Pelodiscus sinensis: one gene and its partners. The protein of the gene in region 3 interacts with the protein of the main gene of each other region in a pairwise test. Links are inferred from orthologs where the notes say so. Each region holds a gene or a part of one and is shown on either strand. Other genes may lie near its edges. The genes, in order: MBNL1, CLASRP and DAB1.

What was found.
Region 1: the proteins of DAB1 (region 3) and MBNL1 interact in binary tests that used the Homo sapiens proteins (3 or more experiments, as listed by UniProt). The link is inferred for Pelodiscus sinensis from reciprocal best matches to the Homo sapiens genes DAB1 and MBNL1.
Region 2: the proteins of DAB1 (region 3) and CLASRP interact in a two-hybrid assay, tested with the Homo sapiens proteins (2 studies listed by BioGRID and IntAct). The link is inferred for Pelodiscus sinensis from reciprocal best matches to the Homo sapiens genes DAB1 and CLASRP.

The regions. Positions count from the first base shown.
Region 1 is NC_134720.1:27,566,755-27,577,122, reverse strand, and holds the start of MBNL1 (muscleblind-like protein 1), read right to left. Parts: upstream 4,452-10,368; 5' UTR 4,196-4,451; intron 1-4,195. UniProt on the Homo sapiens protein: Mediates pre-mRNA alternative splicing regulation. Acts either as activator or repressor of splicing on specific pre-mRNA targets. Inhibits cardiac troponin-T (TNNT2) pre-mRNA exon inclusion but induces insulin receptor (IR) pre-mRNA exon inclusion in muscle.
Region 2 is NC_134743.1:2,243,864-2,253,505, reverse strand, and holds the start of CLASRP (CLK4-associating serine/arginine rich protein), read right to left. Parts: upstream 4,051-9,642; 5' UTR 4,004-4,050; intron 2,667-4,003; 5' UTR 2,558-2,666; intron 1-2,557. UniProt on the Homo sapiens protein: Probably functions as an alternative splicing regulator. May regulate the mRNA splicing of genes such as CLK1. May act by regulating members of the CLK kinase family.
Region 3 is NC_134719.1:13,962,225-13,971,986, forward strand, and holds the start of DAB1 (disabled homolog 1), read right to left. Parts: upstream 3,822-9,762; 5' UTR 3,503-3,821; intron 1-3,502. UniProt on the Homo sapiens protein: Signaling adapter of the reelin-mediated signaling pathway, which regulates the migration and differentiation of postmitotic neurons during brain development.

The DNA of each region.
Region 1 (10,368 bases), on a different chromosome or scaffold from region 3:
ACAAGAAAACCAAAGGTCTCCCAAATAAAAAACATGGCAACAAGTCACTTGATGAGCTTGGCCAAGTGCTTTGCTTTTGGCTGCAGCTCATTTCCCATATGTACATCGTATATTTAAGATTATAAACTTGGAGGCAGAGAACTTGTTTTTATATTTATCTGTACAGCACATGTCATTCAGTAGGTTTTATATAAATATTAAATAATAATACAGATACAACAGTTAATACAATTAAAAACACTGGCTGTGAATGCCTTGATAGTCTCCTGGCAGGATTTTTACAGTGAACTTGTTCTTCCAGTTTAGTTTTTATTACAGCCTGGTATGGGAACACATAACTTACCTAATTTTTAATTCCTTATTTTTTAACCCAGCAACAGAATAGCATCTTTTAGCGTATATAACCTGCGGGTTATACACGTTTTTACAACCCTCCCCCCGTGGGGTATACATGATCACAGGGTATACAAGTTTATTTTTACTCGCCTGCGCTGCGGTCTCCGTTCCCCCTGCTCGGAGGAGGGTGGGTTGCGCCTGGCTGTGACTGCGCGGAGCCTGGGTGTGAGTGCGGCTCCCCTCCTGCAGGCTGGCCAGCTCGCTTGCATTAGGCTCTACATTCCCCCTGCTGACAGCAGGTATGTGCAATTACCTTAAAGTAGCGTATATAACCCTCAGGTTATACATGTCCACAGGTTCTCTAAAACTTTTTTTACTCATTCAGGAAAAACCGTGAGTTATGCATGTGTGCGGGTTATACACGAGTGCGGGTTATATACACTAATTTACAGTTCTAGGAACTTTAGGAAGAGCAGTTATGAAGCAGGTTCCTGCTCCTAAGATACTAGATATTCTAAATGTCTCATTGCCCAATGGTATAAGAATCCCCTATTATTACCTAAGGTCAGGCCCACCAACAAGGGGGAGCAACTGTCCTGGGGCCCGGTGATACAAAAGGCCCAGAGCTCCCAGCTGATATCACCACTAGTGCAACAGCAGCCACAGCCCTAAGCCCTTTAAAACACTGCTGGAGTGCTATGCAGCACGTTCCGGGCAGCCCTGAGGACTGCCTGAGGAAGGTGCAGCCCTCTCCAGGTGGCACTGAGGGTTGCCTATCCCCACTCCCACCCCTTTGGGGGAGCAGATCAGCCCCCCTGCAGCTTGCCCAGGGGCCCAGTGAGGATGTCGGACCCATTGTCTAAGATAGGTGTGAAATAAAATGTGGATATGAGATCACATCCCTTGCAGAAGAGGAAATATTATAGTGAACCTGCTGGCTCAGTACAGTAGACTTCCGATAATCCGGAACCTATGGGACCTAGGTGGTGCCGGATTATCAAATATGCCGGACTATCAGGAGGTACTATAAGCTGGTTATATATATATACTGTATACATTATATACTGTTTATAAAGTGTTCTTAACCCTTTTTATTGTACATACTGTATACAGTATACTGTAATGTTTTAGTTTTTTTAAGCCTTTTTTACCCTTTTTGCGCAGTTCAGCTGCTGCCGCTGTTACCTTGTGACTCATTTTTTGCAGAAGCTCACTCACTAGGCTCTTGCCATTTTGATGCTGGACTATCAGGAGTGCCAGACTATTGGAGTTTTACTGTACTCACTAACCACTTTCTCCCACCCCTAGTCTCACCTAATCAACTTTAAAGTGATCTCAAGGGAAAAGATTGAGCCACAATTCATTCTGGGAAGAGCATAATATTAGGGAACAAGATAAAAATGCATTTCAGTATTCTCTTTGTAACTTCAAATTTCTCTCAACAATTGTAGAAAAAAGAACTCATTCGTGCACAATTTGGTAATGTCTATTGCAGAAGTACTATATATATATATATATATATATATGATATTTAGATTTTTGGCTCAGGAATTCATGTCTTCAGAAAAGCTGCATGTTTTCTGTCAGAAAATTGTAAACTTTAGTGCATAAAGCAATCCTTCTGATTTTTTGAAAACATGTCTCAACATTCCTTTTTTCAAAACTGTATCATACAAGCAGTCATGGGTGTAGCCTTGTGATGGTTTATATGCAATAGCTGGGCCTCTCTATGGCATAAAATCAGAAATTAGTAGCAAAGCTTCCCTACAAATCCTGGCTATTTCTAATACTTTATATATATATACACACACGTATAAATGAATATATACACACGCACTCAGTGGTGGACAAATTCTGCTACTCTTCCTTGCATCTTGTTGAATTTTATTGCGCAAGGAGTCTTACTGAGATTCCTTCAATACAGTTTCTTTTACTTCTGGGGATTCCGTTTCCCATGACTTTCTGGAGCACAGGAGACCTCTGTCTCTTGAGGTCATGCTCAGGATAACCCTCCCTGGTTTAGCTCAAAAGCTTTGTTTACTGATAATATGTAAAGTAAACCAGTATTCTTTTGTCTAGGACAGACTTATTGATCATCTTTATCTAGGATAGCCTATTTGGTCTTCAACATGTTCTAGTAGCATGAATGATACAGAGGAAATTCCTAACTTCACATACAGTGTTAACAATTGTAGTTTAATATAGTGTTATTAATTATATTAATAACCAGAGTATTATTAATGCAGCATATTGCATGTTTTGTACAAATCACAATGATATTTTGTGTTCACAAAAATCAACATACAGCCTGTTCTAATTTGCCATTATTTGTCAGACTTTGTTGAAGCAGAGTATACAAGTTACTAAAAATCCAAACTAAAAGTTTCATGATCCTTGCTAAGCTATTTGTCCAACTCTCATAATTTCTCATAAGTTCTTTATTGATTTCACAGAAAGAAACCCCTAAAACATTTAAAAATTGTTAGTACAGTGTGAATGCTTTAATGAAGAACGTCTGTTCCTAGGTTTTGACAACAAATTCTGTAGTTTTATAGGTTGGACTACAGAATTAAAAGAGATTTCTAGTTCTTTGCGAGTTATCACAATACGCATTTTAATAAAGCAAATACAAATCTTTCAACTTTCACTTACACTGTACTATGCTTTTTTGGAAGACCTGTGCAAACGGTAATTTTTTTAAAATAATCAAATATTTATCTTTGTGTCCACTAGTTTACACACATATAAATAAGCCAAGTGCATAATTATGATATACTCTATGTACCACCTGTGAAGGTGGTTTCTTTATTATTCTTTAATTAGTAATAGAATTCTGCTGTCAGAAACGGGCAGGGGTCTACTTTCATTTAATTTGACTTCTGATCTCGAGTAGTACAGGAGTTCAGCCCAGGTGGACTCTGACTTCATTCCAACTCGGTATTTAATCATCAAACACCACTGGGACATTCATTGGCAATGAAATATTTCATACCAGAAAGCCAGGAGCTCAGGTTCCAGGGGATTAATGTCTTTTTATTTTATAGTACATTTTACAAATGCACTTGGAACAATATCTACATTTCACATCAGCTCCTGCTCCTCTTATTCCTGACAGTTAATCTTGGGGTCAACAGGAACGGTGAGCAGAATTTAGCCCCCTTATGAACAGGAGGAATAAAATAACCCTACAATAATACCTAAAGGCAGCTGTGCTCTCATCCTAAATATAAAACTATATTCCAAATACTACTACAGTATTAAATAGTAAAAGTGGAAAACTATTGTGAAAAAGTCAGCACACCAATTTAAACACATCAGAACACTTACTTAGAGTTACAGAGATGTAAGAGAAAAGGGAGACAAAAATAATGCCCAGTGAAAAAGCCACCTAAATGGTTTCTTGTTTGTTTGTTTGAAGCCGGGATCCTTCAGTCAGATCATACAGTGCCCGTCTAGAACCCCAAAAGGACTCTGTGTAGGTGCAGTGACCAGTTTGAAGGAATCCACAAGAGTAGGACTTCATTTTCAAATTGTGTTTGGAAAATATAATTTCAACTTGTGTTTGGAAAATATAATTTCAACACATTATCCACCAGTACTAATCTAAAAATGAACATACGCTTTAGTGATAGTTTTCACACCAAAAAAAAGTTTCCTTGCAAAATGGAGAGTCCCAATTTCCTGTCTCTGTAATAAAATATTATTTAAATCTTCAGTCATTCAATATAAATCACCAAGATAAAAAATAACAAAGTTCCAATGAAACAGTCCAGCTTCCAGAATAACTTACTAGATAGTTTTACATATTTCTAATGTCAACTTACACAATCAAACAAGTAGGAGAAACTTCAGTTCTTACCTGTTCTGCCTCAAGTGTAGGTTTGGTGTTAAAACTGCTTAAGTAATACGGTGACACAGCCGCCGCCACCACCTTGAAGAGCTCTGTTCTGCTGTATACTCTGGGCTAATTACAACATTCTTTCTTCGCAGTAGAAGGATGGTGGCCTAACTAAAGGGGAAATAGTGAAAGGCCAGAATAATTATGCTTTCCAAACCCTATAGGTTTAAGAATGTGAAATAAGCGAATCACATTAGCATACAGTAGTAACCATGGCAACAGGCTGTGGTTTGCATATGTATTTTTAAAGAACCAAAAATTACTTCCACCTATTAAAAAAAAGACATGAGAGGAAGTACTTTTGTATTTCAAGCCACATCCCTAATTGAAGCAACTACTGTAACTTACCATCTTCAGCTCACATTAAAAGAATGAACTATTGGTTCTATGTTTTAAAATCTACCAATTAAAAGTGTTCAGCATAAGGCCTAACTGCTAATCTGACAACTGACATCTGGTGTAAAAGATAGACTGGCCCTGCCTGGCAAGACGATCTACAAGTTCCTGGAAACTTGGTGGTGGTGGTGGCGGGGGGAGGGGTTGTTTGTTTTTTGTTCTTAGGTCTTATACTTCCTTCCTTCTGAAGACTTGTCTGTTAGCAACCGATAAAGCCTCACAAAACTGAAACTCCTACTATCTGCAACCCTGCTTCAGCCACCAACATCACAGGGCAGGTGCAAAGTCTTAAATATGACAGACTTTTGTAGGCAAGATATAGTAAAACCTCCTTTGTTATTTGTATTACAGCTACTACAGTCTTTGGGCTTCCTGCACACGACAGCTTACTTCCATTGCAAACATTTGTATAGCTGCCACATTTCAGACATTAGAGAATTAGTTGAGTAAACTAATCATCACTCTTATGAATTCACTTCTGGAATTCTACAAGACTTCCACAAATAGATGAACAACAGCCTAATTAATTACTGGAGTTAACAAAATAAATGCTTCAACTATTCAGTCTAAAAATATGGAGTTAAGTGAAAACTTCTTTGTAAACGTGTGCAAATATTTATACAGGCAATCTAATTTCTTGGGCACTAAGTAGGTTTATAAAACTAGACTTTTTGAGACAGAATTAAATTCCAAAGTGCAAGGGAGACGGGATTTTATCTAAAATGGTGAGGCTACGTCGAGTACCAGGGCAAGAATACACAGTACAGGTTGAACCTCCCAAATCTGGGATTCTGTGTTCCAGCAACATCCGTAGTCTGGCACAGATGTTGCTAGACCAAAGAGCCCCAGGAGAGGGAGCTGCCAAGAGAACATGGGGCCTGAGAAGTCCCCAGCTGGGCCAGCAGCAGCTAGACAGGGGAACCCCCAGTATCAGTGGGGTCAGGTGTCCGGACAGTCCCTGACAGCAGAGCCGGTGGTGGCTGGGGAACCCCAGGAAACCCTCGGTGGCAGTGGGGCCGTGGCAGCGGGGCCAGCAGCAGCTGAGTGGTCCGGGCTAGGAAACACCGAGGAACTGCGAGAGATAACAGGGCTGGTGGTGGCCAGTAGGCCCTTGCTGGGGAATCCCTGGGAAACCCCAATGCAGCCAGTGGGCAGCAGGGCAGGAAGCCTCAGCCAGGCCAGCTTTAGTGGGGCAGCGACACGGCAGGAAGCCCCAGCCTTGGGAGCCCCAGGGAGAAGAGCTGTCAACAGGGCAGCCAGCAGGGAAGTCTTGACCTCCTGTAGTCCAGCAAATTCCCTGGTCTGGGACAGCTCGGGTCCCGAGGGTGCTGGACCAAGCAGGTCCACCCTGTACACTAAACAATCACTCTCATGACAGAACCAGATTAGGGTTGCCAGGTGTCCAGTTTTGAACTGGACAGTCCAGTATTTGAGCTTTCTGTTCAGGAAACAAATTGAGAAAATATAAATGAGAAAATAGAAATGTCCGGTATTTTCTAAATAAGATGTAATATAGATTGTGATGTAATGTCAAGTGTGTCCGGTATTTTTGTTGAAACCATTTGGCAAACCTAAACCAGAGGTTGGCCTCCTATGGCAAAATCTGAAGGGAGGCATTGTGAAATGGTGGGGTAGTTCTTGCTAAATTTCTCCTTGTGTGGCTCTCCTTGCTACATTTCTTCAACATTCTCCTATCCAGTAGAAGGGGCTTATGTCCCTGCAGAGATAGGTGAAAGGATCTGCTTGCAGATAGCAACACAGGAAAGCAGAAGTCCACTGTATGGATCCCGGAATCCTCTTTGTCAACTGCTCTGTACAACTTAGGTCCTTTATTAATCACACTTCCAGGGATGGAGTCTCCCTTTCTTCCACAGCTGCACAGTCTCCCCGGGGGTTCTCGTAGCCACTGAGAGGGGTTAGTATTGCTTATAGCAACATTAACTCTAGAGTAGATAAGTGTTTTCATTGTTGAAATGCCCCAGGCTGGTAAAGGAACAGCTCACATTGCTGTTCTACAGCTTCATGTCCATTGACACACATACCCTCTCCTATCTGGAGATCCAAATGCCAGCAATTGCTTCTGTGAATTAAGCCAGAGAATCCACTCCAGATGTGCCTTTTTGTCCTTCTCCTCCCAGATATGGGGAGCATAGCTTCATCCTATATTCACTAGTTTCTTTTTAATCATAGTGTTCAGAATAATAATGCTTTCAGGTTTTAGCATATAAGAAAACAGAGAAATTTCTACAAGTTTAAGGTTAAGAATAGTCATGATTTGGCTGTCCTTAGCTAGGGGCAAAAGAAGAGGAGAAGCAGAGAACTCATCCTTGCAGCAAGCAGCATTAGCCACAACCTGAATAGGTAAGGCAAGGCTTAATTTAAGATAGCACTGGTGGGGCACTAGATGACACAAAGATAGACAAGAGGCTCCTCTATAGAGTGGCCATCATTAGTGCAGGCCAAATACTTTCAATGGATGTACTCCCCCAAAGGCCCTGGAAAGATTATAACAAGTACATCCTGAATTCCTCTCGGGAGTCCTGCGGTGTCATCTCATTCTCCTACCTCCACCATCTGGCCACATTTTATATATTATACTTTAGCATATTTTTTATCCACCTGAATTCCCACGATGAACTATTATTCTTCATACATTTTCAGTGCTACATTGAATTCTTTCATTTTCTACAAATAATCATAATATTATAGCTCTACAAATGACAATATCAGTAAAACAGATTCACGGAAATGTAGGAGGAAGGAACTTCAATTGGTTACTGTGGGAAGGAAGCAGCATACTCCACCTAACAGTTAGGGCCAAAGACAGCAGTTACTCCCAAAGGTTCACCTCTAGCACCCAGTTAGTTCAGTCCTCAAACAAGCAACTCTGCCTAGTGTGTTCAGTGCTCAATGGGTAGAGGAACCTGGGTCCCTTTTCACAGGCTTCTGACCCAGGGTGCTGGGAAGCTAGTTCCACTACACTTACTATGCAGGGCCTTGTGTCAACCTCCCTAGGTCACCTCCTACCTCCCACAATATCTCGGCTGGCCATCCCTGGGGAGTGCTGCCTTCCAGGCTTCTTGTCCTGGTACTAGTCTTTAGTTCCATGGTTCCCCCATTCCCTGAATTAGTATGGCACCTCGCCACATCTGCTCTGGAGCTCCCAAAACATATCCTTCTCTCTGGCCTGCCAGACCATCCAAGCCATCTGGCTGCCTTTTGAATCTCACCTATAACCTGTGCATGCTCTGAGCCCAATTCTCCTGAGCCCAGAATTGCTCCTTAATCCCTTCCTTCCCCCTGAAGGGTTCATATACCCTATCACAGTCATCTAGTCCAGTCCTTTGCACTGAAGAAGGACTAAGTATTATGTAGGCCATCCCTGACAGGTGTTTGTCTAACCTGTTCTTAAAAGCCTCCAGAGACAGATTCCATAGCCTTCACAGATAATTTGTTCCACTGCTTAACCATCTTTACATTTAAGAAGGTTTTTTCCTAATGTGTAACCTAAATCTCCCTTGCTGCATAAAAAGGCCCATTACTTCTTGTAGTTGATAAGAAGAACAATTTATATCACTATACACCTAGGCAAAATATATTAAGTATGATCAATAGAGTTCTAAGCCAGAAGCCTTTTAGGTAATAATGTGAAAATGGAACTAGCCAAAAATCACTTAGAGTTTGACAGCTTTTGCTATCAAGTGAAAACAGCATAAGCTTTGACAATGGTGCCAAAGTTCTGATCCTATTGCATTCTAGAGTGTAGAGATGGCTGGATCTCTGCATCCTTGAATAGCTCTGAAGATGCTTAGCACTACTACACATACCCTAAAGTAGAAAACACTTCCTGCAGTCACAGAAGGATGGGCTTGTGACTGAGACTGAGACATCTAGTTCTATTCTTCATTCTGCCACAAACCTCCAATGTAACCTTGGGCAGATCAATTCTCTCTGTGCGCCAGTGTCCCATAAAACAGAAATAATAAAAACTCATTCATTTTGCTAGGCTTTCCTAATTACACTGTGCTCATGATGTAAGTGTTTCTAACTAAGGGTTTGTACAGTGCCTAGCATAACAGGGCTTTAAGCCGGAACTCCTTAATTGCTATCACACAAATATATTATTCATCATCATAGGCAACTGCATAACCACTATGTGGCTGCCAAATCATAGCCTCTGTCTACAGGCTCTTGAAAACAATAACTAGAAGACCTTGTATGTGCTTGGTCAGCATGGCTGGATATAAGGGACTTGCACTTGGAACGTAACTCCAAAACAGAGCCATCACCTGTGTCAGGCAAATGGGACATCAGGCTAAAGTTCCTTTACCCCTCCAGGGATACCATGGAGGTGAGCAGAGTGTACATGAGGCTGGACCCCTACTAGTCCCGGAAGACTGGCTTAAGGTACGCAACTGCAGCTAAGTAAATAATATAGCTGGAGTCGACATACCTTAAGCGAAGCTTGGGGCCGTCTCCAAAGCAGGAGGTTGATGGGAGCAAATGCTCCCTTCGGCTTTTCTTACTCCTTGCGAATTGAGGCATACTGATGCCGACAAGGGGTACCCTCAGCGTTTGATTTAGTGGATCCTTATTAGACTCGCTAAATCGAACGCCAGAAAAATCAATCTCCAGTGCAGCAAGTGGAGACATGACCTAGAGACAACTAGAGAGAGAGGCATGGCTATTACAGAGATAGTAGAGAAGGAAACAGATGCCTAGATCTCTTCCTTCAAACATCCCAGTTCACAAAGGTGGGATTTTTTTAGTAGCAGCATATGGACCTATTTGTTTTTCAGATATCTTGTGTCATGTACAGTAGCGCTCCACTTAATCGTTGTGGATTTAAGGTAACATAATAAATGGAATTTTCGCATGAAAATCCATAATATACTTCAAATTCTTCTTGCCATGCAGACATGTCCTCATACCAAAACATGATCTCTTGGCAGAATGTATTGACTGAAACCTGTTCTTTTTTAAATAATTTGGTTTATTTGCAATAACGAGTCATTTTGCTACAAGGGATCACTAAATCCATTCTCTGTGATTAGAAAAATTCAGTTCATCCAGGTATTTTATTAACAGGAATCTTCAGTATTGGCTACAGTAAAGAAAATTTACAGGGTTCCAGACTGATATGGCATTGAATAAAACTGTCCAGTAACTGAAAATAATAAATAATAAGTAATAATAATAATAATAAAAAGTCTGCAGGACTTCACTGTGGCTATGGCAAATTCACCTTAGTTACACTGGGGCACATTAGTAACAGACTCACACATTTAGTCATTCATATGAGACACCAGATTTTTCATTCATATGAGCAGACCTGAGATCCAAGATATAAGCAGAGGGCCAAAAATACAAGCTATAAGACATGTTACCTCCATTGGAATATTTCTTTCTTCCCTTTGAGCTCACAGATGCAGTGCCTTGGGGGTGCACATGGGGAAGGGATCACATCTGTGATATTAATGATTATTTGTGCAAATCCCCACCGTGCTGTGGAAATAGCCTGGCAGGGTATGTGGGGATGTCCCAAGGAGTTTCCAAAAGAGTGAGTCCACAGAAGAACAGGAGAAATCAGGAACGAATCACCTCCAATAAACTCCATGAGGTCTCATTTCCATGTGGTCCCTTTTTTAACCCTTTGCAGGTGGTTTGAAGCATTCATAGAGTATTTTGAATGCTCGGAATGCTTTATTTCAAGTACCTATCATCAAGGAATTATATGT
Region 2 (9,642 bases), on a different chromosome or scaffold from region 3:
CATGAGCCTGATAACCACATTTTAGTATCCTTAGTTACGCTTTATGATTCTAGCTACTTCGTTGCGTGTCTTGGCTTTTCTAATTTTGTCCCTCCATATATCTGATGTTTGTTTATATTCATTTCTTATACTCTGACCGAGTTTCCATTTTTTGTATTACTTTTTTTTAAATTTCAGATCACTGAAAATCTCTTGGTAAAGACAGGGTGGTCTCTTGCCCTGCCTCCTATCTTTCCTATGCAGTAGGCTAGTTTGCACTTGTCGCCTTAACATCTCTTTGAAAAATAACAACAAATAATAAAACGCATCATGAAGGCAACAGAGTTGATGGAAATGAGTGTTTAGAAATTGAAATTAACACATCTGAGGTGGAACATAATCTTAAAGAGCTTAACGCTCTCAAATCAGTGGGACTGGATAGTTTCCCTCCCATAATACTGCAAGAACTGGCAGGTGAATTAGTTAATCTGGCAGCAGGAATTTTTATTAACTGCATGTACGCATGGATAGCATCATAGAGCAAGAAAATGGCTAACATTTTATCTATATTTGAGAAAGGAAAAAATTCTGGACAACTACAGACCTGTTAGTCTGACTTCAATAGAATGTGCATCTTTGAATTATGAAGCAAACAATCATTAAATTCCTAGAGGCAAACGGAGAAGGGGATGTAATGCAATATGGGTTCCCAAAGGTAGATCATGCCCAACTAATCTGAAAACTTTCATTGAGAAAATAATCCATTTTTAGATAAGAGAACTGAAGTAGATTTAATTTACCTAAGCCTCAATAAAGCACATGATAATTTCCTGTTTGGTACAGTATTAGTAAAATTAAGGAAGACAGGCATCAGTACTAGGGCTGCTAGCATTTAAGCTGATGTTTATCAGTTATTGTTATCGATTAAACTGCCCTGCTTCTAGGGAGGTGGCTTTGCTGTGGCAGCAAAGCCGCTTCCCCGGGAACAGAGCTGGCAGCTCCGCTAATGGGGGAGGCTTCACTGTGGGCTCTTGTAGCATGAAGCCTATTTAAGATTTATACTGCAGAGATCGCAGCACATGTAACCACTACAATTTTTGGCGGTTACCTTTATTAAACAACTTTTAAATATCCCTAATCAGTACAAGCATTGGCTAAGGAACTGGCTAGAGGGGCGAAGACAATGGCATGTGCTGAAAAACCAACTATCTGACTGAAAGAAAATTATTAGCTGCGTTCCTCAAAGATTTGTCTTGACATCAACACTACTGAATACCTTTATTAATTCAGGTCTTAGAGGGGTAGCCATCTTAGTCTGAATCTACAAAAACAAGGAGTCCTTTGGCACCCTGAAGATTAACAGATTGATTTAGACATAAGCTTTCGTGAGTAAAAAGCGCTTTGTCAAATGTATCTATGTATCTGACAATTTTTTTTTTCCACTAGGGATGTTACATTTTGTTTAATCAGGTAATCAAGTAGTCAATGGAATTCTCTGGCCCCAGGACCTAACCCGGCTGTGGTTCTGCTTTTTAAACATAGGAACAGCTGCCTCGCTCTTACTACATTTAAAAGGCAGAGGCACAGCGGGGACCAGGCATGAGCTCGGACAGCTGATTCCTGGCTCACGCCTGGTCCCCCACTGTGCTTTTAAGTCAGCTCCCCCAAGCATTGGCTCCTGCTCCCCCACCTTGCTGCCTCTGTTAGGGGCGGGGGGGGGGGGGGCCTAGTTAAGTAGCCAGTTACATACCTATTTTTTATCCACAAAAGTTTATGCCCAAGTCAATCTGTTAGTGTTTAAGGTACCACAGGACTCCTCGTTGTTATTCATCCATTCCAATACCAAAACGGACCACTGCGACCATAACCTGACATCTTATAAAACAAAGGGCAGAGAACTTCCCTAAAATAATACCCAGAGCAGATTTTTGAGAAAAACAGCCACCCTTGATTTAATAATTACTACTGATGGAGATCCACAATCCTTGATAAATTGTACTATTGGCTAATTACTCTCACTGTAAAAAATTAAAACCTTATTTCTTATCTCAATTTTTCTAGCTTCAGCTTTCAGGCACTGGATCATGTTATACCTTGGACTGCTAGACTTAAGTGCCCATTATTAAATTTTTTGTTCCCCATATAAACATAGACTGTGATCACGTCACCCTTTAACCTTCTCTGTTGTAATAAATCAATTATGCTCCTTGAGGATACTTTCTAATCCCTCAACTGTTTGAGGCTTCTCTCTGTACCTTTCCTGATTTATCAACATCCTTCTTGAATTGCGGGCACCAGACCTGGATACAGGATTCCAGCAATGTACACCAGTACCACAGAGGTAAAAACTTCTCTACTCCTATTTCACATTTCCCTGCCTGTATGGTCCAGCAATGCATTTGCTCTTTTGGCCATAACATCACACTGTAAGGTCATGTTCAGTTGATTAGCTCACACAACACCCCAATCCTTTTCAAAGTAAGTGCTTTCCAGGACAATCTCTCCCAAGCATATGCCTGACCATGTTCCAAGGTACAATCCTTATTGAAAACTGAAGTAAAACATTTTAGGAACATACCTAGATTACCTTTAGTCTTCTCCCCATTCACACCGCACAGTGACCCACTCGCTGTCTTCCTTGTTCTTTTATTTGTATCAGCAGCTCTCAATCAGGAGTCTGAGGCTCCCTGGGGGAGGGGGAAGGGGTCACAAGCAGCTTTCAGTGGGTCCACCAACAATTGGGGCATTAGACTCAAAGGGCCCCAAGGCACAAAGTTGAAACCCTACCTCTGAGGGCTGAAGCCAAAGTCTGCGAATTGGTTTGGAGCCCTGAGCAACCACCTGCTTGCTACCCCTTAATGCCAGCCTGGCTTTTACATGCAGAAAAACAATTGTGGCCCAGCTGTGACAAAAAAAAGTTTGTCTAGTGGGGGGAGAGCTAAGAAAAAAGAATGAGCATCCATTTTATATAATTGCACAAAGCTCCATCCTACACCAAGAGGGGAGATGCCTAAATTGCTGCTCAGATATGCAGCAGTCTATTAAGCACTGCAGAGGTGCTCAGGGCTGCGGCAGGGATGCCTCTTTCCCCTGGCCCCAGCACAGCCCAGTCCTGCTGCTGAGAAAAGTCGCCCAGCTCCAACCTAGACCTGCAACAGACAGGGTGGGAGAGGAGGAGGGGATGCCTAGGTTTTCCAGGGCCAGCAGAGAAACACCTATCCTGCAGCCCCAGCTCTAGAGCTGCTGCAGCGGAGTGGCATTTCTCCTCCTAGCCCAGGAGCTGCTGATGAGGGGAGAGAAAACTAAGGGTGAAATCCTCTCTCCCCACCATAACCTCAGGGAAACCGGCACCCAAAAGTCCTCATCTCTGCCCCCACAATCTGCCTGACCCCGCGCTCCTCCAACCCCCTGCTCCAGCCCTGAGCCCCTCATCCCCACTCCTCCTCCCAGGACCTCAACCCTCTGACCCAGGGCTCAGCCCCCCTCCAATAATGTTGTGAGGTGCGCCAAGGGGGAGGTGTGATGTGTTCACGTCACCTCCACATCTGTGTGCCTAAAAGACGCGCTCTGCACACTCCGGGGGAAACGAGAAGGAATAATGGGCCGTGCCCAGCTACTGCCCCCCAGACCCTGCCTGCCCCACACGGGGGGGAGGGGCCGTGCCCAGCTACCACCCCCCCAGACCCTGCCCACCCCACACGGGGGGAGGGGCCGTGCCCAGCTACCACCCCCCCAGACCCTGCCTGCCCCACACGGGGGGAGGGGCCGTGCCCAGCTACCGCCCCCCAGACCCTGCCTGCCCCACACGGGGGGAGGGGCCGTGCCCAGCTACCGCCCCCCAGACCCTGCCTGCCCCACACGGGGGGAGGGGCCGTGCCCAGCTACCGCCCCCCCAGACCCTGCCCACCCCACACGGGGGGAGGGGCCGTGCCCAGCTACCGCCCCCCAGACCCTGCCTGCCCCACACGGGGGGGAGGGGCCGTGCCCAGCTACCGCCCCCCAGACCCACACGGGAGCTTCCTACCAGCGGCGCCCTCCATCACTCACCGGAGTGGGGGGGGCGGGGCACAGCCGCTGCCCCGGAACCGGAAAGGCGAAAGCGTCACCGCCCCGCCGGCGGGTGCCGATCACGTGACTGGATTACCTCAGCCAATGGCGGCCCGTCCGCTCGCGGCGGGCGGGGCAAAGGGGGGGGGGGTTCTGCAGCGCGGCCACGTGGCGGGAGCGCGGGCCGGGCCCTGTGTGAGACGATGGGGGGGGTGGAGGCGCTGCTGCCCCCCCCCCCCAATGAGCAACTGCGGAGTGTGCTGGGGGTGCACGTTGGCACTCAGCACAGACACGTTATTCTGCACTGGGGTGGGGAAAGCAGAGGGGACATTGCACCCCCCCCCCCGGGACATCCCCCCCGCACCCCCCCCCCCGGGACATCCCCCCCCCGCACCCCCCCCAGCGTTCCCTGTAAGCTGTGCGCTTGGGTCACCCGCAGCGAGCAGCACGTTTCTACTGGTGAACGGCTGCACGTGCTTCCCTGCACATCACATTTATTCTGCTAACATGGCGCATGGGCATGTACTTGGCAGAGTTCACCCCCATCCCGACACCTGCCCCTTCTGCAGCACGAGGGAGAACCTGGCGCACACCTACCCAGAATGCATCAGGTTGCAGCCCCTTTTCCAGCTCCTGAACCTCTTGCTGAGTGTGTGGGTGCACTTTGCCTCACTCCTTTTTATTTATGCACAGCCCACCCAGCGTCCCCACAAAGTCGTGAGTCCTTGTCAACCTCCTCTTGGCCCTGGCAAAAGCCGCTATATACGATACCAGCAGAAGGATGCTAGATGAGAGGGTGCTCTGCGACTGTGGGGCCTACTTCTGCTCCTACCTAGTCTCACACATCCAGGCAGAGTTCCTCTGGGCAGCGTCCACTGGCTCTGTGGATAGCTTCGAGGAGCAGACCCCGTCTGAGGTTCTCTGCTCTGTATCACTATCCAGTTCCCTCATTTTAAACCTTTGACTACACCCCAACCCTGGTTTTCATCATTTGTCCCCCATAATCAACTGAACCCTGGGTCCAGTTGTCCTTCCTGCAAGGCTGGGGCTCCCCCTAACATAGGGGAACCGGTGCTGATGCTCCAGCCGCCCGCCTAACACTCACGGGGCTGGAGCACACAACATCTCCTCTCTTAGGCCCCTCCCTCCGAAGGCTCTGGTGTGCGAGGGGAATGTGGATAATGTCTTTCTCATTTGGGGGGGCTGCCTCAATGAGGGTTTGGGGGGTTGCTTCTCACTTGTGTGTGGCCCCCCACTGATTTTTCTGTGGGGCAGCAGCCCTCAGCCCGAAAAAGGTTCCCCACCTTGTGCTACACCTTTAATCTATGGATCAGAGTGATTCCGCTGCTCCGTAAGGGTTTCTCTAAAGCAGGCCCTGGCTGTAGTACACAGACAGTCCCTTTCCAAACCAGGAGCTGGAGAGATTGGGTTTGGAGGGAGAATTTGCCTCTGCTCTGAGAGAATGTGTCTGGCGGACTGGAGCCTTGTGGCCAGTGTATTCGGTCTGTGAGACAACGCTGATGCCGCAAGTATTACTGCAGCCACATCCTGCTTGTGCTTTCCTATGACCCTGGATATCAGGGGAATGACATACAGGAGGCCTTGAGACCAGGAAAATGGGAGAAGTACTCTGGAGGGAGCCAGTTAGTTAGTGACAGACATGGGCGATCTCCTCTGTGGAACACAGGGTCCAGAGCAGAGACCCTTGTGGGACTAGTGAGAACTGCAATTGAGGTAACCCACAGGCCTGTTTCTTCCCACAGCTCGTACTCTGGGTTACAATCTCTAAGCAACTAGCAGAGGTGCCTCAGCCTCCCCTTTCATCAAGAGCCCAGGTAACTTCCTCAGAAGTAGCATTCCTCTTTCTGAGATCCGCAGGGCGGCCCATGCCTTCCCCGTGCATTAACCTAGGATCTGATTCCTGGTTGTGATGCCAGATGTGGGGGATCCTTGTTTAGTCAGCTCTGAAATATTGGGTACTCTAAAAGGGTACAGCTTGCTCAGGAAGGGAAGGCGGGGAGGGGGAGGAAAGGGAGGAGGTGTTGCCTTGTGTATCAAATTTATAAACACTTGCACTGAGATTTAGGCAGAAGTGTGGGGGGAGGCAGAACTTTTGAAAGTTTCTAGGTAAAGATATAAGGGTAAAAAACCAAGAGTGATGTCATGGTAAGGGTGCATTGTAGACCACCTCGCTAGGAGGAAAAATAGATGAACTAGGATTTCCCCTAGCTCCCAAACAAATATTAGGAAGGTACTAGCTAGTTGCTAGGGTGAACGCCACGTGACAAGGACTCCCATAAAGAGCAAGTACTTTCCATAGAGTTACTGTGGTTCTAGCTGCTTTATCAGTGGGAAGCCACTACTCACCCTTCTCTGCTTGAACTGGGTTTGATACTCAAAGGCTGTGTCTACACTGGCAAGTTATTCCGGAAAATCAGCCACTTTTCCGGGAAAACTTGCCAGCTGTCTACACTGGCCACTTGAATTTCCAGAAAAGCGCTGACGATCTAATGTAAAATCATCAGTGCTTTTCCGGAAAAACTATGCTGCTCCCGTTCAGGCAAAAGTCTTTTTCCGGAAAACTGTTCCGGAAAAGGGCCAGTGTAGACAGCACAATAGTGTTTTCTGCAAAAAAGCCCCGATCGCGAAAATGACGATCGGGGCTTTTTTGCGGAAAAGCGCGTCTAGATTGGCCACAGACGCTTTTCCACAAAAAGTGCTTTTCCGGAAAAGCGTCCTGCCAATCTAGACACGCTTTTCCGAAAATGCTTTTAACGGAAAACTTTTCCGTTAAAAGCATTTCTGGAAAATCATGCCAGTGTAGACGTAGCCAAAAGGTTTTCTCCTGCAGCCCACAGCTAGAACAGCAACGTGCAACCAAGGCTAGTGACTGGGCCACATGAGTGACCCTCCGTCACCTCAGTGGGCCGCAAGATTATCGTAACCAAGACGGTCTCCTAGAACAGGGCAGTTTGCTCATAGTGCTTGTGTACCTAGAATTTGCAGGGTGTGCCAATGGGACCATGGCAGCGCTGTGATTGGCTGCAGCGGGAGCACCCGGCTCTCACAGTGTGTGGGGGCACCAATGGGACCATGGCAGCACTGTGATTGGCTGCAGTGAGCACACAGGCCACAAGTTGCCCACCACTGGTCTAGATACCCAGGGAAGACAAAGTGGCTCTAGAGACTCTGGAAGGAGCCGGAGCCAGAGCCAGAGGATGGATTGCTCCAGCTGGCAGAGTGTTGGCCACTACTAAGACCGGCCAGCCACTTAGGGGGAAGGGCTACATCTCGCTCCCACAGCCAGAAAAGGGAGCAAGAGGCAGGCAGAGCGAGTGGGAGTAGGAGCACATTCAAGGGGCTAGTGCTGCTCCAACCGCTGCTGGTCAAACCAGAGACACATGAACTGTCAGTAAAATCCCCCTGGACTGACACAGAAGAACTCCAGGCTGCCGGGCACCAGGAAGTCGAGGCTGCAAGAAGCGGGTGATGGGTGGCAGCTGGAGAGGCCAGGAGGCACTGGTTTCCCCAGAGCAAGGGTTCCCAAACTTTTTGACACGGGGACCAGTAAATCCATTCACAAATTTTTGGAGGACCAGTAATGGTCATTTGCATATTTGCATATTCATTAATCAAATGATGAATATTCAAATAAGTTATTTCTGGTCCTCCCAAAACCCCCAGTGCCAGCTTTAGCAAAGCTTTTGATATGGTCACCCATAATATTCTTGCAAGTTAAGGAATATGGATTGGATAAATGGACTGTAAGACAGACAGAAAGCTGGTTAGACCAGGGTTTCCCAAACTTTTTACTTTAGTTGGAACCCTTTTTTTTCCAGTACTGTTTTTTGCAGCCCAAAAATATAAACACATAAAAAACAAACTGAGAAAATACCAGACATATAACAGGTCTGGTATTTTCTCATTAGGCAAATTTTATTATTACTAGATGTATCAGTTTGTAGTTTCAAACTGCCTGGCTGGTAAATGTGCTCAGGCTGCATGAGTGTGTCTACCAGCCAGTTCGCAAGTACTCGAGGGTGTGTGTGTGTGGGGGGGGGGGGGAACAATAGAATCCCCGGGTTGGACTAACTTGTGCTTTGCGGGGGGGGGGGGGGGGGGGGGGGGAGAAGGGGGGCAGCGCCCGAGAGCTGCATATGACTGGGTCAGTCTCGCTCCCTGCCAGCTGATTCGCTCCCCACCCTCCGCCTCTGGCCAGCCCCACTTCCCCCAACCCCCTCCCGGACAGCCAGTTTCCCCCCCCCCCCCCCCCCCCGCTTCTTCTCCCAATCTCCCTTGGCCAGCCCAGCTGCCTGCTTCTAGCCCTGCTTCCTGCAGCTGCTTCTGCCCCCCTCCCCCATCTTCCCCAGCCAGCTCCCTACCCCCGACCTCGTGCCCCTCGGCAGCCCTGCTTCCACCGGCTCCCCAATCTCCCCGTCCCGTCCCACCCCGATTCCCCCGTCCAGTACTGCTTCCGGTGGCCGGCTCTCCCCTCCTCCTCCTCCCGCCGCCCTCCCCTAGCTAGGACTCTGCCGGGAACTGGAACATCTGGCTGCAGACTCCGCCCAGGCCAGCTTGGGGGACCCGACCCCACACGGGCACTCCGGGAGCACAGAACACCCCGGCAACCATGCTGAGGCCCGGTAGTTTTTTCCTGCGGCCCGCTATGGGGCCGTGGCCCATAGTTTGGGAAACGGTGCCCCAGAGTATGGGGAGCAGACCCTCGACTGGCTCTGAGGGTGGAGTGCCCCCTAGCGTTAACTTAGGGTTAAGGGTACGGACCTTAGCTAATATAGATACACTCCCCTGGCAATGATGCAACTTAGCCTCTGTTAGCGTCCAGCCGCAACAGCACAAGTCTCTCTAAGGCTACGTCTAGTCTGCAAGCCTCTTTCGAAAGAGCGTCTAGACTACAACCAGTACTTTTGAATACAAGCCACTTTTTTGAAAGAGAGCACCCGGGCAGTCTGGATGCTCTCTTTCGAAATAGCAGTTTGCATTACATAGCGCCTTTTTTCGAAAGAGCACTTTCAAAAAACGCATTCTTCCTTGTAAAACGGGGCTTTCTGTGCTCGAAAAAACTGCTGCGTTCTTTCCATTTCCTTTTGAAAGAATGCGGCAGCAGTTGGTAAAAAAATTTTTACGTAGGTAAAAAAATTTCGAAAAAAGGTCACTTTTTTTGAAAAATCCCTGTAATCTAGACATACTCTAAGGGAGCTAGCTACGGGGTAGCTCCGCCTGGGTACAAGAGGATCTATGGGCACTTAACCTGCTGCCTTAGCAATGCGAGCTGCCAGCTTTTTGGCATTTGCGGGCTGAGCAGGGGGCTACTGTGACTCAGTATTGTACCACTGCGGTTTGGCGGGAGACCACGTAAGATGAGTAGGGTTCATGCCCAGAACCTGAGTAATTCTGTTTGGTCTCCCTACACACATTCCTCTCCCCCCAGGATTTTCACATGGTGCCCTTTTTCACTGTGGCACACCATTGCTGTGAGACGTCTGTGGTGCTGCACCCCAGAGCTGACAGTGATGTACCCCTCCTCCGTCTAGCTCTGGGCTCGTGGAAAGGTTCAGGAGTCAGTCAAGGTGTGTTTGTACTGGTTTTATTGTATCC
Region 3 (9,762 bases):
GCTAGATGGACCACTGGTCTGACCCACTGTGATCATTCTTATAGTTGTGTGTAGCGCTGAAAGGCAGAACTGAACCTGGACCTCTGGAGTTTCATGCATGAGCCTCTACAGTTAGAATTACTCACATGCAAATTGATAGAAAATGAACATTACTACAGTTACTGAAGCCCTGGATTAAAGGTAAATAGTAAATATATTAATCAAATCTGGCTCACAGAGGTAACATTTCAACTCTCCGTCAGCTTGCTAGAACTTATCATTACATATATAAAATAAGAGCCCTTAGTATCACTCTGCAATAAATACCTGTCAAACAGATGTCACTCTGAGCAATGCCACCTTCCCCAATTATCACCCCTAATATCATTATCTCAGAGACACTAACCTACCCCCTTCACCCTCCCTCTGTTCTAAAATCAGATTTGTCAATTTTATATGTGTTCACTTTTTTTGATTGCATCCCTTTGGTATATATGGTCATGCCAATTTTCCTCCACAATTTGACCTGAGGAAGTGGGTCTGGCCCACAAAAGCTCATCACCTAATAAACCATCCTGTTAGTCTTTAAAGTGCTGCATAGTCCTGTCTTTTGTTTCAGCAAGACCAGACTAACACAGCTACAGCTCTATTACTCTCTAATCAATGAGAGGATCTTTTCTGAAAAGGTTTATGTGGAGCAATGTTTGGTTCACACAAGCATTTGACTGATCTGGCCACTTGGGACAAATTACATATATAGTCGAACTTAAGTGTCGCAGGACCTCAGCAGGTTGTTCATAACTCTGAACAAAAAGTTATGGTTGTTTTTTCAAAAGTTAGTTGAAATTAACTTCATGCAGGTTTGAAATGTAGTATGTAGAAGAAATACACTGCTTTTAACCATCTTAAGCGAAACAAGCACAGAAATAGTCACCCTGCTTGTCAATTCCTTAAAAAAATAGTTTATATTTAAACACAGTACTCGTCTGCATTTGCCTTTTTTGCAGGAGTGGTGGTGGGCTGCCTCGGTTGCAGCCTGATGGCATCTTTCCAGTTCCAAATGAGGTGGACCAGTCAGTTTAGATCTCTGGTGTTCCTAACACTGAGGTTCTACTATAGGAGATTTCTGCTTCTTGTTTGGAACAAATTGGATTGTTCTGCTTCATCTCTACAGTTTTTACATTATTAAAATAAAGATTCATTTGTTAAAAAAAAAAAAAAAAAAAAAAAAAAAAAAAAAACCACCACCACCAATGAAATGAAAATACAAGCTGCAATTACAGAGAAGAAAACAAACTCCCTTCACCTCCACTCAAAAACAGAGTTTTAGCACTGAAGTTAATTGGCTTAGTCCTGCAACTGTTCTTTACACTTCAAAATTATGAAGTATGGATGTGGTATGAGATTGCTTAACTGCATGTACTTGCCTATATCATGACTGACTTCGATGCCACAGCCCAATGAAAGCACTAGCCACCATGCAGTTTGCCTCAGAATAAATCTTAATTAGCTCATAAATTGCTACTGCAATAATCCCTTTGGAATCTTTTCTTTCATTCCAAGTTTTCTTCTCTCCTCCCCCCCACCCCATTTTGTTACATTATAGAAACATAATAAAACAACATAGAGAAGAAAATGTTGTTATGTACCACTGTTCATCAGAAAATAGACACTACACTTCATTGACAATCAAGCATAGACATCACTGTCAACCTATTTTTAAAAAGGCTGTAGGACCTGTTGCACCAAAAAAAAGGGGGGGGGAGTGGAGGGGGCAATATTTGTTTTTCTTTCACTTTAGACATGGGTTTTAGATATCTGCCTGGCATAAAAGCTCCAAGAAGCTTACACAACGTGGGGGAGGGCACGGGGACTTCAATTCAGCCTAGATTGTTTAAATCCAATGTTATTATTTCCCCCAGAATTACTTAAGTCTATTGAAGATGAAGCTGCAGTGTTGGAGGGTTATTTGCTCCAAGGACCTTTTTAATATGGCTGTATTGTAATACTGCAGTGCAAAAACCTCTCTAGTCATAAAGAGAAATTTATCTCAGAAGCAGAACTTGTGACCACTGAAAAATGCATTTGCTTCAATTTTCACTCATTTAATAATGGTGTTACTTAACAAGATCAGTTAAAATGACTGTCCTCAAAAGGCATAACACTGTAACCTCCTCTTCTGAGACTCCTAGGGCACTGAAGTAAAATTCATTTGTCTAAACCAAATAACCAAAGCAAGCAGTGGCATTACAAAGAGTATATTTAAAAAAGAGAAAAATCTTTCGTGACAGACAAGAAAATAGCTTCCTGCTTCCCACCCCCTTTGTTTTAAAACTAACTAAAATACATATTTCACTGCAGAAGGAAAATGAATTGTCCCTTTACAAGTGATAAAGCATTTGGCATCTCACTTTGATTTTTATCTTGAATTAAGGGGGGGGGAAAAAACCACTGAATCTGCACACATTAGGAAGGAGCTATTGAAGTCTGGGTGCATACTGTAGCACATTACTAGTCAAATCCCATATACTCATGCATAATTATTTTCCTACAAGGTTATGCCTAATTGGCCACTAACCCAATTGATTAATCATCTCAATTTTAAGGAGGCATCAAGAAGCAGTCTGAAAAGCAGCAAAATATTTATTTAGGTACAAATACAAAACCAATCTGTAACAGCTGGTTCTAGTTTCTCCTATTAGGATGTACACACATAGGTAGGCAGACAGAAAAAGAATGTTAGAGGGTCATTTAATCTGAAAATCAACAAGCCTGGTGTTCTGAAAACAGTCTCTAAAGTAAATTGTTAGTTTCCAGCAATGGAAGTGTTAGAGGAGCCTCTCTGTCATGTTCAAAATAATTTAAGCAGACATATAATTCTCATTTCCACCTAGGCATAATAAAATGCACATTTCCTTGAGTCTTAACCCTTATGGTACAAGGCAGGGCATAAATCCCATACATTCATACTTCAGTTTCCATCCAGGAATCAGTCCCCTGCACTGATTGCAAATTGCTGTGTGACAAACACCAGCGTTTTGACAGGTCTTTGAGTGAAAAACAAAACTTTGAGTTAAAGCCCATTTATTTCTCCCCCTTTAAAGTGAATAGGAACCAGGCACCCAAGTGCAATTGGCAAAGGCACTAATGAGAGGCTACATTATGCACACTGGTTAAAGCAAAGCCTTTCTGACCATGACTTTTCTAGATCTCTCCCCCCCCCCCCCCCCCCCCCGCCAAACACACCCACCGGCAGCTTTTAGGTTTAAAAAGCAAAAAACCCTTTGGACATGTAGGGGCAGATCCACTGGCAGGATCTAAAAAGCAGGTTCTGTGGACTAGGATACTAACATACTGGAAGGTCCAGAAATAAATACAGGCAATTCAAGCACCTTGGAGGGAGGAGGGTGAAATATCACGATATGAAATTGGACACTGACAAGACACCGGAATCTGTCTAGACCGCCTCCCCTGAGCCCCCCGTTCCTTCTTTACTGCAATCAAACGAAACACCTTCTCCTACCTTGAACCAGTGCTGCTCCCTGATCAGCCCCCCACTCATCCTCTTGTGGCAGGAAAAAGGCTCCCCCCTCGTGCTGTCAGTTCTTTCCCCCAGGGGGGCTCTGTGGGTCTGCCTGTGGGCAGTAGATCCCTGGAAACGAACGACTTGGCAATGGGTATCCCAGTGAGCAAATCCTCAGCAGTTTCAGTTCAGTGAGAGCACCTCAGTCACGGCAGCAGAAGCAACAGCAGCAGAGGCAGTGCTGGTACTCTGCAGGCCACATCGTTCATACCTTATACATCACTACCACATTTCTCCTAATACTGGAGCCCGACAGCATTTCACCGCCTGGTGTCTAACGCGTGCACTTGGCTTTGCTGTGCCGGAACACATTTGTGCGAGTGCCCTTAATGATTCCCTGGGTCTCTGTCTCATCAGCAGACTATTTGTGGCTCAGCAGGCACAGCAAATAAACAGGCAACCACCTGGAGGGGGCACTTACACCCTTCATTAGGATATGCCACCTAAAGGTATCAAAAGTCACCTGAGGGGACCAGGTGAGCCTAATTCATCACACTGGAACAAATTCAGCAGTCTCAGCGTTCCACTAAGTACAATGAGCTTTGCATGCAAAGGGAGAAACTGACCCTTACTGTGTCCAGAGCCTAAAATAGCTGGGGTAATACTGCTCACTTACAACACCCTGTATGTCCTACCCAGGACTCGTTATTAATCACTCTCTAGTCACACACTCTTCCATCTTGTTCCTTGCACCTGTATACAAGTGTTGCATAATTTTAATTCCTGTGTTCTGGGACATTCTGTGGCTTTACAGGGTATTTTCCACATCAGGAAAAGACAGTGTCACATGGTTTTGCTTTTAACCCTAGATTGATAATACCCTATCTAGTGCTCATCACCTTCCTTTCTCAGTGCCTTGCAAGAAGGCATAATGCCAGCAAAATGGAACAATTTATCTCACCCTTAACCTGGAGCATGTATTAAGAGGAATTTTTTTGTTCCCTTCCTCCAGCATTATCCATTGGCTTAATCCATTTCCCCACTGCCCTTTACACTCATACACCTTCCTCTACTCTCCACTCTTTCTTCTTCACCATTCTCACCCCCTCGCCAGAAAGCAGTAGTTATTGAGGGAAAGCTATGGAACAAAGATGGACTTTACATCACACATTTTCCTGAAAGTGGCAAGGTTAATGCAGATTAGAATGATGACCAAAGTGTTTTATTCCCCAGGGCCAGAGATGGAGGATGCAAAATCTTTTGTGACACACCCCCAGTTGGCCAGGCACTCTGTCCCCAGCTCAGGTTATCTGGAACCCTGATAAGGACTGACAAGCCTGCTATGGTCTTGGCTAACAAAACTGGGTCTTCTAGCTGAGGCAGTAGAGGTTCATGGTCTCAAAGTCAGAAATCCCAACTTCGATCCTTGTTGCCAGTGACCCAGAGGTAGGTGGGCATGGATTTAGATTTTACTGACAGTATCATGTTTTTTCTTCGGTCATTTCTGCTTAGCCATCTGATTGTGTTTCCTGCTCTCCCTGTGGTTTGGGGGCATGCTGGTCCCTTACTGTAACTACTAGTAAATCCATTCTGAGAAATGAAAGCGTCTGCAGCTGCAATACATTTCTGAGTTACTACTTATAGCACAGTCAGGCAGAACATTCCCTTTATCCACAACCTGTTTCTACATATTTCACTTAACTCTGACCTCAAGTAAATCCCACTTTTTCCATGTGTGGGGGGGAGGGGGGCTGGCAGGCAAAAATGGTTAAAAAAGGAAACTGATCAGGAGAGTACAAATTTCCTATTCTTCTTTCCATTCACACTCAAAAGTCTTGCTATAGGCTGAAACAAACAGTAAAATTAATCTCTGGTAGGATACAAACTGTTACCATAAATACACATGACTAAATGGTGAGCTTGAAAAGGGCACGACTAAGACATGCACATTGGAGATTTTTGCTAATTCTAGGAGATCACGCTTGTAATATGTAGAAAATGTGAGAATTAAACTGCTTTGTATATTTCTTGATCTTCAGAGCATGGCTGGTTGCTGAACCCCTTAGAAAAGAGAGAGAGAGAGAGAGAGCGTATGCATTAACCTTCCAGGAGGGGTTAATAGTGGGCACTGAATGCAGTGGATTATAACAGGGTTGTTAGCCTTATGTAACCATGAGCCAACACACGTGACCAAGGCCAGGAGAAAAAGGTTCCATCTCTTATCAGTACTCCTCTGTCACATATGTAATACAGGAGGAATAGCTCTTCCTGCTTTATAGACTTCTTGGATGCACACCTTAAGCCATCGTGACAATGGATGGCTCAGAGATCCTGTTACCCTTAACTGCTGACTGATAAAGGACAAATAAAGCTGTTGAATGTCTTATTGATTGTGTGTAATTGAGATATAACTTTATTGCCCTTCTCACATTGTGTTTATGCCATTCCATTACTTGTGGGTGCTTTGGATTAGGTCAGAATGGTGGTAGTGATATTTCCTGGATATAAATGTTAACTCAGAGGACAAAGACTTGATCTATGTTGACACCCACCAGGTCTTTGTGAAAGATACATTTCTTGAACATCTGTAAAAAGAATCTCCCAATCAGATATCCTTTCTGCCAAAATTAGTGTCTAGAAGGGATAAGAAACATGAAATTGCACTTAAAGTCTCAAAAGAAAGGGTCCTTGTAGCTTAGAATACCCAAATTAGCTTCCTGCTGGAAAATCTATCAAATACTAAAGCAGTGGAATTAAATCAGAACTGTGGTCTTGTGGTTAAAACTGTGAATTAAGACTCTAAATATGTGGGTTTAGGTCCCAGTTCTAAGCCGCACTTTCCCCACTAGGATCCTTGGCAATGTGTTCTCTTTACCTCATTTCTACTGTGGGAATAATAATTATTTGCTGCCTTTAAGGCTGTTGTGAGGATAAATTCATGTGTATGTGGTGGGAGAGTTCAGATAGTATGACAATACAGTCATATAAACAGATGAATAAATGGTAGTTTTATGAGTATTTGGAGCAATACATTTTCGGTTCCTTTTACCAGGAACACTTGCAATACCAGACAGACAATTGTTTAGTATATTCAGATTCAAACCTAGGGAACAGGTATTTTAGATCCTGTACAATTTCAGATGTATGTTGACATCAATACTGAAATTTCAGCCAGGTTTCATTGTAGCTTAGCCCTGTGGATTTCCTTCCTTTCACTTTGCAAATCCTCCACTAACCCCTGCCAAATACCACCTCTAAATCTCTGTCTCAGGTCTATAGAATCAGCTTTAGTTAGGCCAAGTTTAGATGCACATTTAGGATCTGAACAAGAAAGGTGACATGAATAGGCAGGTGCATTTGCAAAAACGGTCATCAGTTATGCTTGTATATTGATGTCCCACAAACATGCCTTTGATACAGATTTGGAGGCGAGAGGTAGCCATAACCCCCAAAGCCACTGGTAGAGAGTAGTCAGTCACCAACAAGGAGAGTAATGAAATCTGACGTCCTTTAAACTTTTCTTCAAGGAAAGGGCTGCCGTATCTGCACAGCAGTTCACATGACACAGCTGGAGCTGATAGAGGAAACATCATGCCTAGGTTTGCAGATTCAGTTATGTCTTTAAGAGCACACTTTCAACTGCAGGTTTCACCATATCTTTCACCAGGGAAGCTATTGCTGCACTAACGCATCATTGCTTAACTCCCAAGTGACGGCAGACATACGAGGTGGGCCTTGTCTTATCTCCCTGATAATGCCTGGCAGTGATCGAAAGATGAGGAAAGGCTGCATAAAAGAAATGCTGGAAAAACTCAACCTACACAAAGCAGAGGGTGTTTCATTAGCAATGACTAAAGCTGAATGCAGGTTAAGTGAAACAAGTGGAAACATGCAGTGCTGCCCACATCCCAGCCTAATGCCAACAGGTCAGTTCCCCAATGCCATGTCCATAACAGTCCCTCCAGAGAACAAAGGCCCACTGACTCCTGTTCCACAAAGATACAGCTACCCTGTTTTTATAAACACAAGAAACAAATAGACACCCAGGTCCCCAGCCCGTACCCCTTTTGGCATGTGCAAGTATGGCCAATTGTAATCAGCTTAATCTGTGGTATTGTCTTTGAAATGTTTGGTTTCCTCAACATGCAGTCATACCAGTAGTGACCTATCTGATGCCCTGTTACCTGTCTGTGTCCAGCAGATTAGCTTTCCTCCTTCCCTGTGGGGTTGGCCACCACCTGGCTCTGTGTCTCAGTGCTGAAATGACCTGTTTCCCTGAAGGCCCACAAATGCTTCCTGTTCCTTCTGGTCACTTGTCTCTTGTGTGGTAACCTTGCAGGGGCAGGCATTGCTTTTCCAAACTGCCATCCTGGCCCCGCCCATTCTCTGCCCCCAGAACACCTACTGTAGGCATACTGGGGGCAGAGTGTTGCTGTCCCCGAGCGCTCACCCTCCCCATACTCTGGGGGCAGGGAGGCAGGAGCCACCCCACCTCCCCGTAGTGCTGGTGGAGGGGTGGCTTCACTACCATGGGGGCAGGGCTAGGGGCTTTCTCCCCTAGCCCTATCTTCACCCACCACCCATGTTTTTCATGATTTGTGCACCACTGCTCCCTCATGAACATCTGTAATCTGTTCCTTCTGGTGTCGCTCTAATTACTGGCGCCTCTCAGAAAGGTCTATCCTGGGACCAGTAAGTGCTTGGCTGACATGTCTAGTGACTGTGTTGCCAGATACTTGGCCACCTCTGGGCTGTGTCCCCATCCTTCTAGACCCCCTCAATGGCAAAAATGTTTTGGTTCTTCCTCCTATCAGTGCCTATGCTGGACTGAACTGTTCTGACAATCCTGTAATGGGGTCACAATGGGTCTGAGCCACAAGAAAAAACCTAGTATAACACTAAGGCAGGGGTGGGGAATTTTTTTTTCCTTTGGTTCAGAGCCGTTGACTCTCAGAAAAATCAGTTTGAAGCTGCGTACAAGAATTAAACAAACAAACCCTCACTGATGTGGCCCCTAACTGAGAAGAAACTCCCCACATTCCCTTCACACACCTGAGCCTAGAGGGGGCCCAGGATAATAGATTTTGTGTGCTCCATCCCGACAGGCAGGGGAGGGGTTGGAGTGCCAGTGCAGGTTCCCCAGTGCCAGATGTGGATCCCTGAGCTTCAGAGGCCAGATCCAGGCAAGTTAGGGACTGCATCTGGTCCCCGGGCCTTAGGTTCCTGACCCTTCGTCTAAGGCCATGTCTGCATCAAATAGTTTTCAGTGACACAGCCATGTTGCTACAAGTGGGATAGTGTAGCCACTGTTTGCTGGCACTTTTGCCGACAAAATATTTCTATTCCCACCCCCCGCACCCCCGAGCACATTGGCTTTGTCTTCAGGAGAGTGCTCATGCTGACGCAGCATTGTTTACATGAGCACTTGCTGTGGCAAAACTTTTGGGGATGGGGACGTAGCATCTGTGAATGACAAAAACTGTCATTCAATTGCCAGTGTAGACATAGCCTTAGCTGTTTTTAACTGTTTATTCTACTTAGTCCACAGGTGGGCAAAGAGCAGCCCCATGGCCAGACCCAGTCCTCCAGGGTTAGGTCCTGGTGGGCCCCCACCACTATATTTACCAGAGCCTCCAATTGCAGCTCCCATTAGCTTCCGATTAATGTTCCCAGCCAACAGGAGCTCCGGGAAGCAGAGTCCACGCCGCTTTCCGCCACTCCCATAGGTGGGAAATGGCAATCCGTAGCCAACAGGAGCTGCGATCACCAGTACCTGCAGAGGTGCAAGTAAAAATAGTGGTGATGGTGGCCCACCATGAGCTAGCCACAGTGAATCACTGCCATTTTATTGCCCACCCCTGCATTAGCCTGCGGTTATACTGGGGAGGAGACGTGGTGGTCAAAAACCCATTTGCATGCAAATCCTTGGGATTCTTCCAAGACAAATTGGTTGGTGATCGATGTCTAGAATCAGGGTCTAACAGCATTATGTGATGAGGGAGCAACAACAGCTGCCTGTAGTCTGAATGATTCTAGCCCACACCTACAACTCATCTTTCACTTGAAAATACAGTTCTGTGCCTACCAGTGCTTAGCTTTTGTCTTCTAGCCAGCCACTGTTAGCATCGTTCTCCAGACTGCCTATTTAGATCTTTTTTCCCATAGCCTCTGATTTCCAGCAGCATGGCTGCTGAAATGGGGACTGTGAATCTATTAACTTATTGCACTGTGTCCTGTCTCCCTTCCGCTCACTTGCTGGT